Alligator mississippiensis: one gene and its partners. Each later gene encodes a partner of the first gene's protein in a complex. Links are inferred from orthologs where the notes say so. Each region holds a gene or a part of one and is shown on either strand. Other genes may lie near its edges. The genes, in order: CHD5, CDK2AP2 and MTA3.

Region 1 (8,062 bases):
GAGGCATTGAAAAGACAACGTTGTTCCTTCCTGTATCGTTGATCTCTCTCTTCACATTCCCTTTGACTCTCTTGCCAGCAGTGCTGTCTATATGCTTTTTACTGTGTTGGTTCCTTATTGTTGGAACCCCCTCTCATCTGGTGTGCTCAAGGCTTGTTTCTCTAAAACCATTTGTAAGGCACAGGAGCATTTATATTTAAATGTTACTGTGGAAGTCAAGCTCTAAGTGTGTTTATGGTTGTGGCAATGGTGGTTTTTTGTGTGTTTGTTTGTTTTAACTAAGGTGATGCGTTTCCATGTGTATTGCTTGTATGTCCCTGTCCTTTTGACTTGAAAGCTGTAAACCCCTCAAGAGAGATCATGTATTTCTCAACACAGCACCTCATGTATTCTGATCATTATTGCATTTGCTTACTAAAGAATTGGAAAAAATGTCAGTTGGTTAGTGACTGAGTTTTATAATGTCTGATGAAGCCATGTACCTTTATTTGGTACCAAACAAAAATAACCCTGCCTTGCTGGCATGCTGTTGTTGACAGTATCAATTTTCTTGGATTTGGGGGTGGAGGGAGAAAAAAAGCTGCTTGGCTTTTCTGTTATAAAGAAATTGCTGCATTGTCTGACATGTACCTTTACATGGGGACTCATGCTGTGATTGATAACATCCTTTCCCAGCCCCGAATTATTTGGTTTTGATGCATGTTATTGTGCAGGCCTTAATTCACTGATTCCATTGAAAGTTTTTTTTTTTCTAAAATAAAGTTTGTTTAGAATGTAAGCTTCTAATATCTTCACTTTTGATGTGGATAGTCATGTGTGCTTTTTTTTTTTTTTTTGCATTAGAGAGCTCTCCTTGGTATTCCCCCCCCCCCCCCCCCCGGCCCCCAAGGTGTTCTTTTTAATTTTATTTTCTTAATTAAGTTTGTGCAAAGGCAGGGCATGACTTGGCACTTATCTCCCAAGAAGTGCCTTAGCTTTTCCCTCCTGTGTTCTGAGTAGCATGTCTTTTGTAGTTACTTCTGCAGTAATAGCCTTCTGGCTTGCCTTGCAGAGAGTTAAGTCATTTCTAGTAAGGTGAGAACACTTTTTTTTCTTGGTTGAGAAGATTTTAAATCTGCTTGTTGAAACACTAATATAAAACATAATTTGTTCTTCTGAATCGAGTTAGTGGTAAAGCCCCACAGGGGAGGATCTTCAGGAAAAAAGATGTAATGAATGGTGCTGTTAGGCAAATATTGCAGACCTGAAAGTGCTTTGAGCCTATACACTACCTCTTTGTTTCTGAAAAAGTAAAATAGCATGTTACAATCTGTAATCACAGTGGGGTTTGTCCAAAATGTCTCATCAAGTGTGAAAGACTTTAAGACAAACTCTTCTTGTTATATAATGCAAAATTGAAACAGCATAGAGAAAAGCATGATGGGAATCTTGTAAACTATTTATTTGAATTTCTCCTACAGCATGTAATGTAGGATAAGAGGTAATTGTACTGCTTTCAGTTGGATTACTGGTTTCCTTCTTTCCACAGATACCTGAAGTATCTGACTAAGAAATATCTGAAGAAAAACAACTTGCGTGACTGGCTGCGTGTCGTTGCCAATAGCAAGGAAAGTTATGAATTACGATACTTCCAGATCAACCAGGATGAAGAAGAGGAAGAGGAAGAAGATTAAATGCATGTGAATCTGGAAATATTTTGTATATTAAATTTCCTTGAATAAAATGAAAAAAAAAAAATGTTAACATTTTCTGTGTTTTTCAAAACTCTAGTGTTAGGCAGCTCTTCCAACTGTCCTGATTGATATGGTGGTCATTCTAATGCCACAGTAAGTACTTAATTAGTAAAGGTTAACAGCTTTTGTTGTACAGATAAACTTTATCTAACCAGACTGCAGTAATGTAGACATTTTTTCCTCCTGCTTGATCTTGATTCATAAGAGAATTTCTCTTGCAGAATCTGGGGTCCCTCATAAAATAGTCTTCTCGTTTTGGAGAACTGAGATTTCCTGTTTATTTTTGTAATACCTCAAGTACAATATTACTTAACGGTCTCTTTGTAGCAGATTTTTATTTCACTTAAAATATTCCAGTATAGTAGAATGAAAATTGGTAAGTGTCTGGAAAAGAGATTTGTCATGCTTTGACTTTGTCACACTTAGCCCTAACAATTTGCTGTGCCATCTGGCTTTGCTTTGTTTTATGGAGCCCTGTAGCATCATATGTTATGAAAGGGTTGAGATTTTGGAAGCTGAGGAGGGGATGTAGTCAGAACACCAACCACTTCATCTCAGTGTCTCAACTACAGATGAGAAGTTTAGCCAGTTAATTTCCCACCCTTTTTTTTTTGCTGTCAGACCTATCTGGTTTAATTTTTAATTAAGAATCACTGTATGTGGCTTCAAAGTTATCTCCAACCAGAGGTCTAGTCTGAATAGAATGGGGTTTTTTTTGTTTTTAAAGGTTTCCCCTTCCTTGGCTAATGTCCCACAAGGGGTGGCAGCGGAGTCTGGTTGATAGAAAAGATCAATCACACAACACTTTTTTTATTTGGGTAATGTTGACTTCCAAGAACTTTTTGCAATAGTGCTTTTGAAACTGCAATGTAAAATCTGAATTTGCAACTTGTCAAAGCATTGTGCACTCAGATGCTTCTCTCAGCCTGAGAAAACTTAAAGGTGTAGGAATATTGGTATGAATGCGTGCAGTGGGGTCAGTTTTCTTCACATCCCTAAGAAGTTATCAGCTCTGCTACAATGTTTGAGTATTTGTTATTTATACAGGTATATTTTTGCTTACTTATTACAGATGAAGACAGTCTTGTAGCATGACAATCTGTTCTTAGTCGCATACCGTACCTTTATCATTTTACAAGTAATTAAACAAGGTGTTATTTCATAGGGCTGATGGAGTCATTTTTCAATGAGCTTTAGAAACTGTTATTAAACTTGTAGGTAGCGTTATTTCTTGTTCTCTTCCCTCTCCCTAGTAATTTGCCATTGCTTTTTTTTGGTGACAGAAGGTTGGATGGATGTGTCTTCAGAGATTGTTGTGATATTTCTAAATGGAAATGCTTATCAACATGAGCCCTGCTGACCAAAGGCTCAGATTGGCAAGCAGTTTGCAACAATGGCTCAGTGAACAGTGTTCAAATCAAGGCTACTGAACTTTGGCTGGGAAAAGTCATAGTAACTTGGCTTCACATTATCATGATAGGCTGCTGGGCTTCAGGCCTGTCTGCACTGCACTTGCAGTAAAATCAAGGAATCAAGTGCACTTGAATTTCTAAAATCTAAATCAGCCACACTGGAGCCTGATTGGATCTGTGCTTGGAAGTCTGAGTATGTGAACTCTTGGTTTTAGTTCCTCAGGTCTTTTTTTCCCTCCCCAACTGCCAACATGTTGGTGCACTGAGTCACTAAAACATTTCTTGAACATGAAAGCATTTATTAGTGCTTCTTTCTTTTAGTTAAAATCTGTTTTCTTACTGGTGTGAGAAATAGGCGTACACTGAAGTGTTAATTTAAATGATGCTAACCTTCTATAGAAGACCCTATGCCATTGCAGCGGCATTTGTTGCTGTAATCTAAGATGTGGCTTACCTAGGGTATTTGTGACAGGCTTTTCCCTTCTGGAATTCCAGATGGTGAAATGCTCTCTTAGGTTGGGTGGGGAATCTTGCTGAGTTCTTACCTGTGAAGCACCTGTATTTCCACCACTAAAATGGGACAACTTATTGATGTCAGGCTCTGCCACTTCTGATGGACTAAGCTATACATAGGCACTGGAGCCAGACTTGGGAGTCATCTTTTTGGACAGGTGCAAAAAGAACCAGTAAATAATGTACTGAGCTGAGTGACATGCACATCTAGTCGGAGGTTTTAATGTATGTGACCTGGTGCTCCTGGTGTGTGAAAGAAGGGTGTTTGTTCACTGTGTGCCTTGGCTTCCCTTCTTTGAAGCAGCTGTTTGCATCACAAGCTGAAGGGCTGCTGGTAAAGTGCTTCCAGTTCCTTTTCCTGCGTGTTGGCCTAAGGACATAAGTAGACAAGGCTGTTTGGGCAAATGTGATATCTTTTATTAGACCAACTAAACAGTTGGAAAAAATTGTTCTTTGCAAGTTTTTGGGTACAAACACCCTTTGTCAGGCTGAGGAAGCTTCTGCAGTTGGTGCATGCTCTTCCTGGATGGAAGGAAAAGTAAAGAAGCTTGCTTAAAAAAAATTTCCCTCAACTATATAAATTGGTTTAAAAGAAGATATCAGATTCACCCAAAGAACCTGGTCTGCCTATGTCCTTAGATCAACATAGCTTCAACCTACACCCTTGATAAAAGACTAGACATTTACCCGAAGAACCTTGTGGGTCCAATTCCTTTTTAACACCGGGCCAGCTGTGGGCTGCTCAGAGCCCAGACGGGCTGCTCTGCTTCACTCCTGTGCGGGATGAGCCGCGGGGGCCGGCCGGGGAGCGCTTCCCCGGGGGCGGGGGCGGGCGCGGGAGGGGCGCGCGTCCAGGTAGGTGCTGCAGGCGCCCCGCTGTGCCGGCTCGTCTAGCGGCTCTTCAGCTCGCAAGTCACTTCCTCAGAAGCGCAGTGCGGTGACCTCGCCTTGCGGGGGAGCCAGGCGGGCGGGGCGGCCCTGGCAGAAGCTGCCTCTTGCAGCCGCGGAGCTGAGCGGGCGGGCTGGCGGCCGCCGGGGGGAGGGCTGGCCGTTCACCCGCGCGGCCGGGCCGGGCCGGGCCGAGCCGAGCGGGGCGCAGGCGGCAGCATCCTTAGCAGCCGTGGGGGGCGCGGACGCCCGTTCCCTCCCTCCTTCCCGAGCGGCCCCGGCCCCGCGCCTTGCGCAGCCCCGGCGGCCGAGCGAGCGGTGCGGAGGCGATGGGATGCGGTTGCCTGGGCAACCAGACTGGACGTCACACTCTGGGCATGTGTAGTCCCGGCTGGTGCCGCTGCTCCCCCTCCCCGGCTGGCGGGCGCGGGCGCGGGGGGCGGCGCGGAGCGCGGGCGGCTTCGCCTCCACAGGCGGGGGAAGGCGGGGGAGCGGGAGCGGGAGCGGGAGCCAGGGCAGCCGCAGCCGCAGCCATCTTCGCGCCGCGGCCGCGCCCCGTGCAGCGCCCGCGGGTGGAGGCTGGCGCCGCGGGGCGCCCCGGGCCGGGGCCGGGGCCGGGGCTGGGGCTGGGGCTGGGCAGGCGCCGGCCGCCGCCGGGGCGCGGAGCATGCGGGGCCCCGAGGAGGAGCCGGACGACATGGAGCACGAGGAGGACGTGTCAGGTAGGGGCCACGGCCGGGCCCAGGGGAGGGGCGGCACCCGGGCTCTGCCCGCGGCCCCGGCGGTGCCCCTGCCCCTGCCCCTGCCCGCGAGCCGCGCCCGGCCCGGCCCGGCCCCGCGCTCCCGGCAGCGGCTGCAGGTGCGGCCCCGCCAGCCCCCAGCGCCGGGGAGAGCGCGTTTCCCAGCACAGCCCGCCTGGCCCCCCGTGTCTTGGCCCCCTTGTCTGCCATAAACTTTCCCTACCTTGGCGTCAGGCTGTTGTTTCCTCCCACATTGCCTTGGAGACTGTGCTGTCATCCTTTCCCCGCTTAGGGCACCTCGGTGTAGACCCCTCCCTTGCCTTTCCCTCTCCCAGGCCTGGCGCACTGCTGTCCCTCCCTCTCCCTGCCCAGGTTGTATCCTGTGCCCTTGCATTGCTCGCGCTGCCCTTCCCGGCTGTTTGGAAATCCTTCTGTGTCCTGGGGGCTGTAACCCCGTGCACTGGGGTGTGGTATTAAGGCCACCTAACTGGCCAGGGCAGCCAAGTCAGCTTAAACAAGCCTCAGTTGGAGGATCTGGATTTTCCTGTTGGTTTTCTTACCCAACAGACTGCTTTACCGGTCTGTGGCTGGTACAGGTGACACCCGTCTGCCAGGCTGGCAGCACCCTGGAGTGTGCTCCAGCTGCTGAGTTAAGTCCAAGTAAAACCGTGCTGTTAGGCTGCTGAGTGCATCAGCCGTGTCCAGGTTAGAATTCAGTAACCGCAGTGGAACAGGGCTCCTGCCACATGGGCAGGGACATGGGCAGGGATGACATGTAGGGGGTGCACATGCACCCCCTGAGTGCGGCAGTACATCCCCTACAAAAGACGCCGGTGTCTGCAGGCGGTCCACAATCACTGCTGGCCACCATCAACGGCAGCTGCAGGTGGTCGCCAACCCTTGGTCAGCACTCGCCACCCTCCTCCCCCCACACCGGCGCTGTCAGCGGCGTCTGCGGGAGCTCTCCCGCTTCTGCCACCGCCGTTGTGCTCCTGCCACTGCCGTACCCCCCTTCCCCCCCAGTTGCTGGGAGCATGCGTCGTTCATGGACATGGGGCATAACTGGGCGAAGGGATAACTTGTACTGTGAGGTTTGGTACTGGTCAGCAGGCCTGATGGCTGTGCCATTTCTCCAGGTGTGACCTAAGTAGGAAGTGTCAGTCTAAGCGAGTGACACTAAAATGACCAGTGGTGCTAATGGTGTCAGGGTGTTTGGCTTAACCTAGTGTTAATGGGGACCAAAGTGCTCGAGAGGAGGGTGGTGTGGTTTTCAGTGGATGTTTCTCACACGCAAAGCCTCCAGTGGAATAGCCTGGTGCTCTCCCAGATAACCCTGGGCAGGGTCTCCAGCAGCTGCTCCCAGGAGTGGCATTCTTCTGTGTTTTCTATCTTAATGACAAAGAAGTAAAAATTGAAAAGTAGAAAGAAGCTTCTGCCTGCAGAGTTTTTTGTTTTTAAGTCAGCCTTGTTCATGTCTCCCACCTGGAACTTCTCTTGTATCTAATAAAGCAGGCACTTGGGCCAAACTCACTGCTAGCATAAGCAGCTACAAATCCATAGAAGCCAATTAAGTTGCAATTGCTTCTGATGAGAGTAAGGAAGTTCCCCCGACACAGGGAGCCAGCCTGAGGCCTGTGCAGTGCTGTAGCATGCCATTTCAACCTTCTGCATGAGGTGCCTGTTAGAAACTTCCAGTGGATATGCCTTGTTCTTAAATTTCCAAAATAAATGCATTTCTGTGTCGAATGCAACTTAGGAACAAGGATATAAGACCAAAGTAGAATTTCTGGATAAATGAGAGCTGATTTGCTAATTCTGTCAGGCTCTAACCTTCAGTCTCTCCAGTGGAGAAGTGATATTGGTGCCTAGTGTCAAAGCCATGAGGACGGTAGTGAGTGAGGGACTGTGATTCCAAAAGCCCATTAGACATGTATCATTAAGAACTCAGGTACAGGATGCTCATTTTTGCAAGCTGTGAAGCTATTTATCTCTATCCTATGCTTTGTTTTCCAAGGCAGGAGGAATTTTGAACATCTGGCAGTTAAATGCCACCCCATCAGTGTCAAAAAGGGTCTGTACTTCCTTTGCAAAAATGACTGGAGATTATTAAGATCCTTTGGTTTTCACTCTTAATACACCTGACTGATGTCTAATCAGGCAGATAATCAGTGGCCACAGTTGTGCCATGGAAATGAGAGTGTGACTTTGCATGTGTTGGAGAGAGATGTAAGTGGAGCGGATTAGTGTAATCTAAATAAAAAACAACAACTTGTGTCCAGTGATTTCCTGTTATGGGGATTAAGGCATCAGTAATTCACCTGTTAAATCTATTGCCATTGCTGCTTTTCTCCTCCCAATTTTCAGTTCATTTACCCACAAGCTCAGTGTGCAGAATGATGGTGATTAGGGTCTGAACCCATTGTAATTGTTCTTCCTGGAAAGGTGCTTAGAATTTTGCAGATTGACACTTTTTCTATACATGCATAAGAAAACATCCCAGAGGAGTTTCCTCCATTGATGGGTACTTCTTTTCAGCTAAGAAAAACAGAAAGAAGAAATACAAGTGTGCAGCAGAGGGGGTGCAGGGTTCTCTCACTTAGCGTTTCCTATTCTAGCTGTCCTTATGTTCGTGTTGGAGGCAGTAGCAATCACAGTGCTTCCATCTTGCAGAGACACACACAGGAGTGGGGTGAGAGGAACTTGTCCTCTCTCTGCCCCTCTGGAGAAGGGCTTTAGTGTTCCCTGTCCTGGAACTTGCTTTCTTTAGCAGCAGAAT
Region 2 (7,174 bases), on another chromosome or scaffold:
ACACACCCCCTCCATGTCTTTTTCCCTGGGACTGCACACAGCAGAGGGGAGCTGCTCCCTGCCCCGCCACTGAATGAACCACCCATGACTCTATCCCAATCTCTGGCTGGGTCCTGCAGCTGCATGTTCCTACCTTGGGCCCCATGCACCACCCCGGCTGGGTAGCATCCCCAGCCCCAGCCTCAGCTGCTAACCCTGCCCCACTCCCTCCCTCACCATGGGGACCTCAATCTGCCTCCCCACCCCAGACTTATCTGTAGGCAGCTGGGGGAGCTGCTCTCCCCTGCTGCCTGGGGCTGTGTTGCTGGCCACATGCGTGAGTGCACACATGCATGTGGCTCCTCCCATGTCTTGCTTCCCTTAGCCCCAAGCAGCCCCTTGCAGGCTGAAAGGGGAAACCTGCTGTTTCCCACAGTTTTCCACAGCAAATGGAAAACCTGGCTCCCTGCATGCTACTGGGAAACCCAGGACAAATGCTGTCCAGGAGTCAAGCAGCCTGGGACAAGGATTTGACCTTTAAATTTTGGGACTGTCCTGCCCAATTAGGAACGGGTGGTCACCTTAGTTGAGGGACCATATTGTGTGTGGAGCACTAGGGTTGGGAGTGAGTGGAATCCCTGTTTTGTGATCTGGGGAGATGGGACTGGAGATGAGGACAGGTCTATTTTGTGTGTAGGCAGGAAAGGGGGCAGACTAAGCCAAGGTGTACTCTGCACTGGGTCAATCAGTATTAGTTTGTTAATGAAATTTATTGATAACACACTCCTGCTATTTGTGCCAAGGTCATTAAAGAAAATAATTTCAGTCTCAAGACCGATCCTGGAGGCACTCCCTTCTGTTATTCAGCCCAATATTTCCCCTTTCAATGCTACCAGCTGTCATCTTCCCTTTAATCAGGTCCTTACTCACCCAACAGTTCTTGTATAGTATTCATTGCTTTCAGTTTAGCTAATAATTTCCTAGGTGACATTCTTTCAAATGCTTCTCTGAAGTCCAGACAAATGAGCTCTACTACATGTTCTTGGTCTAGAAAGACTGCTATCTTAGTGAAGATGCAGGATGGAATGTTTAAACTTTTGTAAACTCGTATTGTAATTTTTCCCATTTTCCATATAACTAATTTTTAGTCTTCAAAATTAATTCAAAATGCAACGATTAAAATTAATTAAAACATCTTCATATTATTAAGGCCAGACTAACAGATGTGCTGATGAAACTGTAAAGGTGTCTTGCTCAAAGTGTGAATTTGAGCCCTGCTGTGGAGTTGTGCCAAAAGCTGCCAACAGTTGACTTAGCTATAAATAGATACCAGGTTTCTGTGGCTGGGAAATTAAAAGGAGCTGGCAGTGATACTAGCCACATCATTCCCTTGTGTGCTGCTGACTGGAAACTGGCTTGTTTTAACCATGCTAACACAACTAGCCCTTTGACTTGGGCAGAATCTCAACCTAAACAGGCCTCTAGTTGCCCAGGTCACTCCTTTCTCAATAAATACAGGCACTATTTATTTTCTAGCCATAGGATACAATTCTTGATTTGATAGATTAATTACAAATCCTTGCTCCCAGACCTGTGATTGTGGGTGTTGAGTCTTTCAGAATTCCAGGATGCAGACTGCCAAGCCCCCACCCCTACATGGGCACATTGAGCTCTTAGTATTCTGTTTCCCATTCAGCCGTGGTCATTTCCATTTCCATACCCTCTCACCCTGCCTTTGGCTCCACTGTCAGCCTAACTTTCCTTACTGCAAAATGAGAAGTGGGTGCATCTACATGTGCTATAAATGCACTTACTGCACATTAAAAAAGGAGTAGTAAATTGCACCTGGGGAAAAGTCTTACATGTGTGCTGGCAAATTTGCTCCCAACTGGAGCAGGTGAGACAAGGGATGTCCCTGTGCCCCCTCCCCCCTGCCCTGCTCTGCCTTGTTGCAGCAGCCAGGGGGAGCTCCAGGCTCCCCGAGGTGCCAGCTCCCGGCTGGCAAAGGGCAGGGAGCTGGTCCCAATCACCACGTGTAGGGGAAAAGCTGTCCTAGCAGCTGGGACTGCTGAATCCCAGCCACGTGGGGATTGGACCCAAGTGGCTGGGAGAGGGGTGCTGCCTGGCAGCCATATGGGAATCAGGAGGGTCCTGATCCCCACATGACTGGGAGAGGACCCTTCCCATCCCCACATGGCTGTCTCTGCCAGGTGAGGATGTTTCTTCTGGCCATGTGGGGACACCTCTCTCGGTCATGTAGCTATTGGGATCCTGAGTCCCACTTGGCTGGGATGCAGCAGTCCTGGCTGCCAGGACAGCTCTCCCAGCCATGTGGTGATCAGGACAGTCCCTGTCCCTATGTGGCAGGGAGACAGTTGCCCCTGCAGCCAGCACAGCTCCTGCCACATGGGGCTTAGCCTGGCAGCAGTGGGCCCCCTGGTGCCTGGACTGGCCCAGAGCAAATGCTCCTGGCCAGCATCTGCACATGCACTACTGCACAGTGGCTAATGTACACTTGATCTACTACTACATGTATTTTCAGGTAGTAGATAACTGCACATTAGCCTATAATGCAGTAGCTTGGCATATGGATAAATAGTGACACTTTACTACGCAGTAAATTAGTCTATTGTGCAGTAAAGCATCTCCTGTAGACACACCCAGTATTTACTCAGTTTGTGGCCCACATTGCACCCCTCACTGCATACTAGCCACCCCGCTTCTGTCCTTGTTCTCTATTTCTTTTGTTATTTTTCTTAAATGTTGCAATGTCTAACACGTCTTAATGTTTAGCAATTCTCACTTTATTCTTAAATTTCTTAGCTTTCTGGGCTGTTCTGACCATTTATCCCACTTTTTGCAGACTCTGCTTATTCCAAATATCCTTCCTGAGGTGATATCCCTCCTCCCCACTGAATACAAGGTCCAGATAGATGTTTGCATCTTTGAGTTTCTGCACTTGAATTCAATTCCCGGGGCTCCTTAGGCTGGTTGACTTCAAGTGTGCCCTTCTGAAGCAGCCTAGATACAGACTTATTTTATTTTAATTCTTTGTGAATTAGACTGAATCATCTCATGATGATTTGACCTACACTCCCCCTACGCGTCACCAATGCTTCCAAGAGAAATGCCACTGGGAAGCTAAAGACCACAAGGCCTAGGGAGGCTGCAGCACCCACTGTAATGCCCTCTCCTGGAGCCAGCGGTGCTTTCCCTACCTTCCCCCTCACATGAACAGGGAACTCTAGGGATGCAGAAAGAGGTGCAGCTGCCAGCTGTAACTCAAAACGACTTTTGGTTCTGAGTTACAAGCTTACCCCAGACGAAACAGAAGTTCACTGTTGGTTGGGGGGGGATCTAGCTGGAGGCCAGGTTCCCACAGCAATGGCGAAGCTCTGTGCCAGCGTTCACCTTTTCGAGAATGAGAGAGGCGAAAGGCCATGGAGGGAGCTCTTCTTCGGGCTCCCTGGCTGGTGCCAAAGGGTAGAGGTGAATTGGAGCCTCTCCCCGAACCTAGGGGGCCTCCAATACACCTGTCCCACTGGTGTACTCCCTCTGCCCCCTTTCCCCCTCCCGTCCTGAAAACAGCGACAGGCTGGGAGCTCCCAGACACAAGTTACAGAAGACGCTAGTTTGAAAGGTCTTTATCTGATCCCTCCTGCAACAGGGGGTCAGGTTTTCACCAGGCAGGCCGTTTTTGAAGCTGTCTGCAGCCGCGTGCTTGTGTTTGGTCACAGCTAGAAGCTGCTTTCTGTGGCCTGATCAGGCAAAAATGGTCACTTCTCTTGCACCACAGAAAGCAGGCAGCCTCCCGGGGTCCTTTTCCTGCCCAGCGCCCCGGAGCGCCGGCGGGGCGGGCTGCAAGAGCTGCACACGGGCTGGACGCGGAGGAGGCGCAAACACGAAGTGCTGCAGGAGGACACGAAGGCCCTACGCACCGTGCGACACACGACACGAGCCGCCCCGCCCGGCCAGGCCAGGCCAGGCCGCGCCGCAGAGCGTCCCGCTGGTTTCCTTGGAGACGGCGGCGATCGGGAGGCGGGGCGACGTGATGAGGTCACAGAGCGCGGGGGGCGGAGCGCGCAGGCGCAGCGGCGGCGTCACTGCGAGCGGCCAGCCGGGGTCGGAGGCGAGCAGAGCGCGGGTCTGGCTGGCAGCCACGCGCCGCAGCACCGGCCCCACCCAGCGCGAGAGCGCGCCCCGAGCCGGCCAGCGCGGGAGCGCGCCTCCTGAGAGCCGGGCCTGCCTGAGCGCGACCGCGCGCACACACCCCACGCGAGGGCACTGCCGACCCCGCAGCGCCGGGACCCAGCGAGGAGAGCGGGGCAGCGGCAGCCAATCGGGAGCGAGGGGTGAACGGCGCCGGCCAATCGGCGCGAAGCGCCTCGCCGGCCGCCCAATCAGCGTCGCGCGCCGCGGCGGGGGCCGCCGCCAATCCGCGCCACGAGCCGGGAGCCCCGCGCGGCCGTCGCCCGTCGGGGATGTCCTACAAGCCCATCGCGCCCGCCCCCGCCAGCAGCTCCGGAACCGCCGGCGCCAGCAGCAGCAGCAGCAGCGCCAGCCCCGCCGCCCCCGGGCCCGGGGCCCCGCCCGCCGGTGAGGGACTTTCCGCCTCGCGCAGCCCCCGGGCGGGACTGGCCGGGTGGGGGGAGGGGGGTGAAACCTTCGCGAGCCGGAAGTGGCCTCTGGGTCCTAGTGCGAGACGGTGGCTTTGGGGCGGGTCCCGCCTAACCCTGCGGGGGAAACTGGCTCCTGAGACCACACATGGGAACCTGTCTGACCCGCGGCAGGGGGGCAAGCCCCTCCCCCAGGAGCGTCGGGGCTTAGCCCCAGCAGGAGCCCTGGGACGGCCCAGTTTGGTCCACAGCAGTTCTGGGGGAGGTGAGCGAGGTCCCCCCACAGGTGTAGCAGCAGGAGTGGGGAATCCTGCCCAGCCCAGCCCAGCCGCTTGGGAAATACCAGGTGCCTTGCACTGTGCCCAGCAGTTTTGGCCAGCATGTACAATGCCACCCATTGCAGCCTCTCCCTGGGTGGCCTGACCTGCTCTGTCCCTGCCGTAAGCTTGTCCTGACTGGTTTAGCCTTATGTAACTCAGCCAGTCAAGGAGCTCTGCTTCGTTCTGCTGCTGAGCATAGCCTGCTCTAGGCTGTACTGTTCCTCTAGTTATCTCCAGCCAGCGGTGTATGTCGGGGAGCTTCTGGGCTTCTAGCTGGTGCTCTAAAAGCACCCTTGGGCGTAGCTAGATCATCCCTGTCCAATGATTGTCTCACCTGTTCTTGAACCCCTCCTGTGAAGGAGAGTTCACAGCTTCCCTAGGCAGTCTGGTTCATTGCCTCACTGGTCTAACAGAGAAGAAGTTGGAGTGATGTGATGTAGTCGCCAAACAAGAAAATGCAGTTTGAAACAGGGCACACCTTCATGCCAAAGGCAGGAAAGAAATGCCATCACTCAATGTTGTCTGGGGCGAGGGGCTCCCTTACCAGGGGTAAAGGATAGCTGATGGTGGGTGACTTGACCTGCTGCTAATTGGCCAGCAGCTGAAGCTGTTGCCTTGTGGGCCTTGGTCACCAGGTACTGCTGTGGCCCATAGGACATGTGCATAAGCTTGTGTCCCCCAGGAGCAAGCAGTGCTGCTCCTCTGCCATGAATTGAGAAGGAAAGCTTCGTCAGACCAACATGGTGTCTTGGTTTCTTTCAGCATCCGTGCACTGTTTGTGCCTGGCTAGGCGTATGTAATAGGGGCTCCTGATCCTTATTAGTTGAGTGGAGTGAATGCAGTGCCACAGAGGGCAGGCTGTGGGGGCAGCTTGCAAAGAAGCTGGCTGCAGAGCTTTAACCCTTTATGGAAAAGCAACCTGCACATGCAGGCCATGGAGATGGGCTCCAAAAAATAAGTTTACTAATTAGTGAAGAGGATGCCCTATGCCTGGTTCTGAGAGTTAGAGGTCAGGTGACCCAAAGGGAATGGAGCCTAGGGCAATATAAGACTGGCTTTTAGGTTGGAGGGGGCTTTCTGGCCCAGACCTTGAAGAGAGAAGGATCTCTGCAGAGGGTCTCATAGATGAGTTGTTTTTGTTTCTCTTTCAGTTTATATTAGCTGTGAGGCATGGGGTGGCTAGAGGGGAAGAGTGGAGGCTACAAGCGAGCATCTTAGGGAGTGTATTGTTGAGTGTTTTGGTTTGGAGAAGGTAGTAGCCTTGTGAAGCCATGGCAAGTACCTAGAGAGGCCCTGTGAGTTTAGTTCATTGGAGCTGGGTGGAGACTGCAGGCCCAAGAGAGGGATATAGGTTAAGGGTAGAAACTGGCTTGAGACTGAGGACTGGTAAGTATTAAACAGAGGGAGACAAAGGGTTGGACTGATTGGCAGCCTGATGATGAGGAGAGCAGAATGAAGTGCTCTAAGGCCTGGTCTTGTGTTGCAAGGGCAGCTTTCCATATTTGTATTTATTTTCCAGCCAATGAGGATAGGACGATATCCTGTTCCTCAGTCTAGTTCCCCAGGATAAGTAGGGCTGTCTTCAGAGGCAGGGCAGCTTTTGGATTGGGCCTGAGAATATTGAGAGGTATCCTCCTTGCACCAAGGTGCAACAGTAGAAGGCCAAGACTCACTGCAACCCTAGTGTCCCAAAGGACTCTGGGAGACATTTTGTAGGGAGCTGTCAAGTGAGATTGAGTTAGTGGGGCAGAGGTGACATGCATTGCTGTAGGAAGGCTGGGGCAGCCTGAAGCTGGGCAGGCCAAGGATGGAGAAAGTGAGTTCAGCTCATGTGGTGGTGTGGGCTAGGCACAGGGAGGGCTGTGCCACAATCTCAAGCCATGGCCCATCCTGGGCTGAACTATACAACAGGGCAGAAAAAAGATGTCCCACTCGGTGAGTTTCTCTGACTCACTTCCCGTGTGAGTCAGCAGTCTGGGAGGAAGGTGGGTGCAGGCTGGGATGGCGGTGTTGAGAAACAGCTGTAGCAAGCTGAAGGGGTACTGTGTTGGGTGGACAGGTCCAGGAGGAGCACCTAATATTAGGGCTGATTTCTGAGTTGGGCAGTGGATCTAAGATCAGGCTGTGAGGAGGAGGCTCTTGAAAGGAGGTGGCTCTTCTGCAAGGCAGGATATTGCCTTTATGACATTTTTCTGCAGGAAGCTGACAGAAAACCACAAATTCCTGTGGGTGAGGTCAGCAGGGCCCTTGGTTACATGT
Region 3 (7,892 bases), on another chromosome or scaffold:
CTTCAAAATTGTCTTGAACTTTTCATGTTATTTAAATGTTTAAATTAATTATTTCTTTAAAAAACAAGGTTAAACTGTTGATTTTTTTTAATATTCCAGGCAAGATGTTATTGTAGTGATCAAACCCTTTTGAGGGACTCTGTGTGGCTGTGTACATACATTCAAATAATCTGGGATAATTCTCCCAGGTTTGTTCTCCTAGTAGAAAAGTTACTCAGCACAGGATGTACGGACATTTGTTCTTCTAGAAGAAACTCTCCCAGGGTGATTTAACTCTGGTTGCTCCCAGGTTATTTTTCTCCTAGAGTGGCCATTTTTACTCTGGGGGAAAAAAAGCCTCAACTTCTGTACACTTGTAGTTTTTCCTGGGGCAGCATTGACTCTCCTGACAGAAACTGAATATTTGTATGAGGCCTGTGTTGCTGCATAATTAACAGCAGCTAAATTGCTCTTGTTTTCCACTAGAACTACTAAATTCAGGAAATGAAACATGGACTGTTCGATAATGTATGAGAAATGTTATACTAATGGTCACAGACTTTTTTTTAGAAGGGATATGAGCATGTGATTGACTGGAATACGTACTGCCAAGAAGGGAAACTCATATGTAGGGACCTAATGAAATCGCAGTTTTATAGATTTTGTGAAATCTGGCATTGGCTAAGAAAGTAGGCAATGCCAGTGAAATCTGAAGAAAGAAGACAGGGAGAGAGAGAGAGAGAGAGAGAGAGAGAGAAAAAGAAAACTCACTCAAAATAAAATCCTGGCTCCCCAGAGGAAGCCAGCAATTTTTGAGGTGCTGCGGCCTGCCACAGGGGGGAAGCAGAAGGGGAAGAGCTGCCCACTTGAAGGGCTGCAGGCAGCATAGCTGATGCCCCTGCCCCTCGCCGTTGATTGATTGTCTGTCATGTTGGCTGCCTGTCATGTGGCCCTACCTCTCTCCATCAATCCATGGTGAGGGGCAGGGCCTTTGCAGCCAATCAATGGTGAGGGGCAGGGTCACTGCCCCCCCTCAGCCAATCAGAGGAGTATGGGACGAGACCATTGCATTCTGCCCTCAAAACAGCGGCTGGACCCTGCATTCTGCCCCCGAACATGATTGCCAGGCCCCATATTCTGCCTGAAAAATCAGCAGATACTGCCTCAAATTCAGTAGGTCCCTTCTCATATGTATGGTTAATGATTTTTCCCCTTATGTTTACTAACTTATTGCATTCTACAGTGTATTTCCTTTTAACTCAGGAATGATGTGAGATGCCATCTTTATATCATCCATAGCATCTGATGAAGTAAGCTGTTGCCTATGAAAGTTTAAGCCTTTCTGAATGAGTTTGTCTCTAAGGTCTTGCTTTCTGCCATCTTTATAACAGGATACACAGACAGCAATCCTGGATGTGAGACAAATGACACATCATCATTGTTACGCAAGAAATTAGTAGAACCTTTTTGTTTTCCAAGGAAAGAGTCCAAATCATAATCTAGCTCTTTAATAATATATGTTTTTCATGTGATGAATTTAAAATAAACAAGGAAAATCACTTATAATTTTGTTATTGGTGCCTTGAGAGCATTTCTGAATCAGTTTTATTTGTAAACAACTCTTTTAAAACATTTATTGATTCTGAGACCAGCTACAAGATTTATCTTTGTTTCATCTAGTAATTTTTCCAGGATATATGGTAAACTTTTTCTATTGGACATTTTTCACTCTCAGACAGGGTTTTTGAAAACAATATAAGAATTTTCATGTGTCACCGTCCAACAAGCCTTGATTACTACTGTCAAATGTATTCAAGGAGATCATCACTTTAACTGAAGGTTTATGCTCGGATGAATTGTGTGTTACTGCTCAAATGAAAAAAAGGTACATCATCATGGTAAAACAAATGAAAAACCAACAATGCCACTGAATAAATGTGTAAGCAACTCCCTTTGGATGAGAATATACAGCTGTCTGTTGAGAATATTAATATTTGAGTACAGCAGTGATTATGCCAGTCAAACCTCTGGATGCTGAATGTAAAATACAACATGGAAATAAAAACCAAGAGGGTCACAAGTTAAAAACAGCACAGGGTGGGATTCATTGCTTTTATGACAAACTGTGATCCAGTGGAACAAAGGACCAGACCAGGAAGCCACAATTAAGTCCTGCCTCTACTAGTACTGTGGAAATTTGAACAAATTGTTCAAACTATCTTCTTCTAAATGTAAAAAGGTATAGTCATTATAGGCACATGATTGTAGCCTTCTGCTACAAGAAAGGTTTTTATGCTGTCTGTTAAGTGGTCTGAAATTGTTAAAAGGTGTGAAATACTATAATTGCTGTAAGATAAATGGCATGGTTAATTAGATCCATTTTGTGACTGAACATTTCAAAGAAAATATCTTACAAAAATAAGAGTGTGTCTTTTTTCATGGAGTAGTAGTACATCATGTATCTATAATGAGGGACAGTTAAAAAGTAGAATGAGGACCTGCTCATAGGAATTTCAATTATTTAAATACTCCAAATATGTATTTCACATACCCTATCAGTAAACACAAGTACACAAACTCTAATATCAATCTGTGGACATGCATAAGAGTACACAGGCACCTGCATGCACCCCTCTTCCATAATAAGCATGCATTTGTATCTTCTCTAAAGTGCCTTTATGTATGGGTGCATACTTCACTGCCCAAAGACACAACTGTGATTATGTTCCTTACTTTCATTATAGGCACCCATTCATTTACTTGTGCTTTATAACAAACCTATGTTTAGATCAGTGATTCTTAAGCAGGGTGCCACAAGATCCACTCACCAATATTGAAATGTTATGCAGTCTTAGTACTGCTAAGTGAGCAAACACCTATAACTGACTCACAAGGTAAACCCGGAGACTTCAAATAGGAATCCAATCAAACCGGAAAACACTCTGTCCTATAATCAATTTTCTGAGCCCTTTACACCAGAATTGCTCTTTTTTCCTGTAGTTAAAAATGAGTGAAAGCTAAGAGCTGGCATTTACTGAGGGGTGCTTTGAATCTAGAAAAGTGAAAAGCCACTCATCTAGATACACAGCTCTTAACATTTCTCCTTCCATGGACATACAACAGACCACTGGTTCTCAACCTTTTTAGACTCAGGGCAGGCACCCTTTGAAAAATGTCAGCTCTTAGCTTCCACTCATTTTTCAATGTTGGGAAAATACTAGAGGCATTCTTCTGTTGTAAAGAACTCTGAAGGACTGCAACAGGTCAGATTATTTTTTACACTGTGGATTCCTATCCGTAGTCTCTGGGTTGATCCTGTGAGTGGGGTGTGCCAAGACTCCTGGAGGGTTCTGGCTGAAAGGTCTTGCCCCTGTGCTCAGGGTTAGACCAAATGCTGTAGTTAGAATCAAGAAGGAATTTTACCCCATGGTATATCAGAAATTGGTATAGACTGTGGAAGTTTTTGCCTTCCTCTGTAGCAGGGGGCCTGGCTCTTTTCCTTGGATCTCTCAGGTGTGTTTAATAATACTTATAGTAGCAGGACATGGGCTGCTGTGGTCCCCCTGCTGTACTTGTGGCAGATGAGGGTGCTGCGCCTTGTGGTTGTGGGGTGGGCAATTATTTTGGGCGGAGGGCCTCTTACTGAGTTTTGGCAAGCAATCAAGGGCTGCATGACAGGGAGCCCAGGGCAGATCAATATTCATTTTCTAAATTTTTTAGGAGCCCCTCAGGCCGGATAGAATGGCGTGGTGGACCACCTTTTGCCCACCCCTGGTGTAGTCAGTCACATGCAGGTGTTTGCTAACAGGTTAGACCAGGGGTGTCAAACTTGTCTGGACTTGCAGGCCAGAGAAGTGCTACAGGATTAGTGTGTGGGCTGGATGACTGGTGTGGGGATGGCCCAGTGGGCTTGACTGGGCCCACAGACTCTGTTTCCAGTCCAGCGGGAAGAGGCCTGCCACCCCAGGCATTTACCTGCTATGACAAGAATGAGCTGCGGACCTAGAAGCACAGGCTCAGGGGTGACTTGGTGGCAGCCTATAAGTATATAAGGGGTATGCATCAGGATTTGGGGGAATGTCTGTTCACCAGAACACCCCAAGGCATGACAAGGTCCAGTGGTCACAAACTCCAGCAAGACCATTTTAGGCCGTGCATAAGGAAAAACTTCCTTACTGGCTGAGCCTCCAAGGTCTGGAATAGACTCCTTACCAAAGTGGTGCAAGCACCTACTCTGGACACCTACTCTGGACACCTTCAACAAACATTTGATCTTATGAGGTCCCTTCCAGCCCTAATGTCTACAAAAATCTATGAAAGTCTGTGCCCTGGCTATCTCCCCATATGTCTGTGGGGGCTCCAGTGCCGTAGCTCTCATGAGGGTGCTTGGCTAAGGTGGTGGGACAATGTCCCTAGCAAGGCTGGAGGCTGGTCTTTTGGCCTGCAGGCCGTGTGTGACACCCTGGGGTTAGACAAAGGACTGGAGCTAGACGTCTCAGTGGTGGCAGGTGATGGAACAAGGGGCAATGGTCTCAAGTTGCAGGATGGGAAGTTTAGATACATTATTAGGGGGAAAAAATAAACTTTCAAGAGGAGGGTGGTAAAGCACTGGAGCAGGTTACCCACTCTCCATCCTTAGGAGGTGTTTAAGACCGGCTAGACAAAGCCAGGATGCTGTAGTTGGGCTGGTCATGCTTTGAGCAGGGGGGTGGATCAGACGCCCCCCTGACATCCCTTCCAACCCACATTTCCTATGATGTGTATGGGGCCAGCTTGGCTAAGGCCCGTCCTGCACCGGGCGAGGGGGAGGATGCCCCGATGCCCCCCGGCGGCCCGCCCACTCCAGCCCGACTCGTGCGCGGCGCCCCGGCCCGGCGTGCAGGTGTCTCTCCGCCCTGCGCGGGCCCCCGCAGGGCCAGCCCCCGGGCCAAGATTAACCCCTTGCGCGCTGCAATCAGCGCGCGGGCGGGAGGAGGAGGGGGGAGGTGGTGGGAGCCGCGGGAGCCGCTCCCTCCTCGCCTAGCCCGGCCCGGCGGCGGCGGCGGGAGGAGGAGGCGCAGCGCGCAGACATGGCGGCCAACATGTACCGAGTGGGAGGTAGGTGGGAGCCGGGCCCGGCCCCCCGGGGCGCTGCGGGCAAGGGGCAGCGCGTAGGGGGGGAGGGGTGTGTGGGGTCGGGCCCGGCCCCGGGCAGCGGGGCAGGACGGGGAGCAGGGCCCGGCCCGGCCCGGCGCTGCCACGGGGAGAGGGCACGGGCGGCCTGCCCGCAGGGCCGGGGGCACACGCAGCGCCCCCGCCCCCCCTCGGCGGGGCGAGCACGTGCTCCCCGCAGCCTCTGGGTGTCCCTGTGTGCACACGTGTGTGCCTGTGTGCGTGTATGTACCTGTAGTGTGTGCACCTCTGTGTGACTGCTCGGGCGTGTGTGTACCTGTAGTGTGCGTGCACACGTGTGCACATCTGTGTGCGCCTACGTGTACCTGTAGTGTGTGCGCACGTGTGTGCTTGTGCGCCTACGTGCGTACCTGAAGTGTGCGTGCTAGTGTGCCTGTGCGCGTGCTCGTGCACATAAATGCCCATACCTGTAGTGTGCACATATACATGTGGCTCTGTTTGTGTTTGTACACGTGTGTCTGTGTATGTGCACACATGTTCCTGTGTGTGCGCGTGCATATGTGCATGTGCCTGTGTGTGCTCACGTGTGCCTGGGTGTGTGCTTATGCACCTGTGCCTGCCTGTGTGGGTGTGTACATGTGTGCCTGTGTGTGTACCCATGCTTGTGTGTGTGTTGCGGGGGGAGGCAGCCATCCCTGGGCAGGAGGTTGTTGAGGGCCGGAGGTCCTGTGCCTGGCCTCTGCTCAGGTCTGATGGGCCCACAACCTGCATCTGTCTGGGACTTCCTGCAGTGTCTGTCATTCCCCCTTGCTGCTTCTTGAAGGTGCAGTTCCTACCCCTGCTTCCCTTTCCATCCCCACCCCACCGCACCACAGTTTGATGATAAGCTGCCTGCGGTCTGCGGGGGAATAGAGCAATTTTTTTTTTCATCCCCCTTCTCTCCCTTGTGTGTCGGTTCACCCGCTGCATGGGCACAAAGGAAGTGAGGCCAGTCAGAGAGTCCAAGAGTCTGTGGAAGAAGACAAACACTTCCTGTGTACACCGCAATACTGCTTTGCTGTGATTCCTGGCATAAAGAATGTGAAAGGGAAAAGTCCAGCTGAATTTTGCCTCTGTACACCCCCTGACATTTACTACACAATAGTATACCTGTCCTATCACTGCCCAAAGTAGTATCCGGTGCAGGGGACATGGAGAACAGGAACTTAATAAGATACATGTTTTCCTGTTTGAGCAAATCATGTGCTAAGGAAGCCTGAATTAAAGATGGCAAACTGATGAACTGGGTCCCCCTTGTCCCCCTTCCACCTGATGCAGTTATAGCAACAAGTCCACTCTGTTCCTCTTCCTCTGTTAGGTCATTTAGTCCTGTAAATCTTTACTCAGTCTTTACTAGAGTAGTGCTTCTGAAGATCAGGTAATGGTTTACAACAAGGATGTCAAAGATGTGGCCTGCAGGCTGGATCTGGCCTACAGAGCCATCATCTGTACAGTGGAGCTCTTGGAGGGGTAGAATGAGCAGGCGCAGACCCACAATTTAATTTTGAGGTATGGAGACTGGGTTTTTGGTTGTAGCCGTGTTGGTCTAAGGACATAGGCAGGCAAGGTTCTTTGGGTAGATGTGATATCTTTTATTAGACCAACTGAGTAGTTGGGAAAAAGTTCTTTGCAAGCTTTTGGGTGCAATCACCCTTCTTCAGGCATAGGGAGTCTCTGCTGTTCTGAGATCTCTAAGGAATCAAAAGCTAAAAGTGTGGCAGGATGTCAGTGAGAATGTAAATAGGTACAACTTTTTGTTTTCCTAATTTTTGCCTGTTTACATTCTCACTGACATCTTGCCACACTTCTAGCTTCTCTCATTTCTTGGAGTCTCAGAACAGCAGAGACTCTCTATGCCTGAAGAAGGGTGATTGTGCCCAAAAGCTTGCAAAGAACTTTTTTCCAACTACTCAGTTGGTCTAATAAAAGGTATTGCATCTACCCAAAGAACCTTGCCTGCTGAGGTATGGAGATGTGTTTCTGCTGCAGGCTGAGCCATGACTGCATTAATCTCTGTGGCTCCCTGAGCTGACGCAGCCCTGCTGCTACCACTGACCAAGGTGTGTGTGGAGTTGGCCAGCAAGGCTCCTTGGGATCTGAATCTGGCCAGGGGGTGTTGCAAATGAGTTTGACATCCTTGATGTACACAATGTAGTTCCTGCTGCTCAGACTGGATTCTCATCCTGTGGGTCTTCAACTCGTAATAGAGGTGAAAACCATCCTCTCATTAGGGTGAAACGAGATGGGATCCTGAAACTTTCTTTTCTTAGGTGGGATCATGATATGAAAAAAGTTGAGAACCACTAGTTGAGAGCTTGCTAAACTTTCTACTTTTGTGTTCCAGATGAAAAACAATGATAGCATGCATATTTTTTGTGGTTTAATCTTAAGATGTTTCTCAACAACCATCTGGGAGGTAGGGTGGGTTATAGTGAAGCTAGTTAATTGGAGATTACCCTTGAAGACTGTAATCAGTAATTGGAGATTACTGGATTATATTCACTTCTACCATATATAGAGAAAACTCAGACATTGTTGCAAAACGAAAATAAGACAAACTTTCAAATTACATTTGAATTTAGTGAAGCATTTCTTAGAGAATCTCCAAAAAAGGTAGGTTTTGAGAAAACAGATTGAGGGAAAGATGTTGCGCACAGATGTTTTGATTATTTTAGGGGGTTGGACTCGATGATCTGTGAGGTCCCTTCCGACCCTAGCGTCTATGAATACACTGGAGATTGAAAGCGCTTAGCCATGGGGAG

What was found.
Region 2: CHD5 (region 1) and CDK2AP2 share a complex: the UniProt entries of both Homo sapiens proteins name them as parts of the nucleosome remodeling and deacetylase (NuRD) repressor complex. The link is inferred for Alligator mississippiensis from reciprocal best matches to the Homo sapiens genes CHD5 and CDK2AP2.
Region 3: CHD5 (region 1) and MTA3 share a complex: the UniProt entries of both Homo sapiens proteins name them as parts of the nucleosome remodeling and deacetylase (NuRD) repressor complex. The link is inferred for Alligator mississippiensis from reciprocal best matches to the Homo sapiens genes CHD5 and MTA3.

What each region holds. Positions count from the first base shown.
Region 1 is NC_081836.1:18,203,022-18,211,083, reverse strand, and holds the start of CHD5 (chromodomain-helicase-DNA-binding protein 5), read left to right. Parts: upstream 1-5,030; 5' UTR 5,031-5,213; coding exon 5,214-5,268; intron 5,269-5,509; exon of another isoform or gene 5,510-5,598; intron 5,599-8,062. Other genes in the region: RPL22 (large ribosomal subunit protein eL22), read left to right, coding at 1,529-1,673. UniProt on the Homo sapiens protein: ATP-dependent chromatin-remodeling factor that binds DNA through histones and regulates gene transcription. May specifically recognize and bind trimethylated 'Lys-27' (H3K27me3) and non-methylated 'Lys-4' of histone H3.
Region 2 is NC_081825.1:170,472,829-170,480,002, reverse strand, and holds the start of CDK2AP2 (cyclin-dependent kinase 2-associated protein 2), read left to right. Parts: upstream 1-4,083; 5' UTR 4,084-4,460; coding exon 4,461-4,575; intron 4,576-7,174. UniProt on the Homo sapiens protein: Acts as a component of the histone deacetylase NuRD complex which participates in the remodeling of chromatin.
Region 3 is NC_081824.1:194,058,712-194,066,603, forward strand, and holds the start of MTA3 (metastasis-associated protein MTA3), read left to right. Parts: upstream 1-4,838; 5' UTR 4,839-5,048; coding exon 5,049-5,076; intron 5,077-7,892. UniProt on the Homo sapiens protein: Acts as a component of the histone deacetylase NuRD complex which participates in the remodeling of chromatin.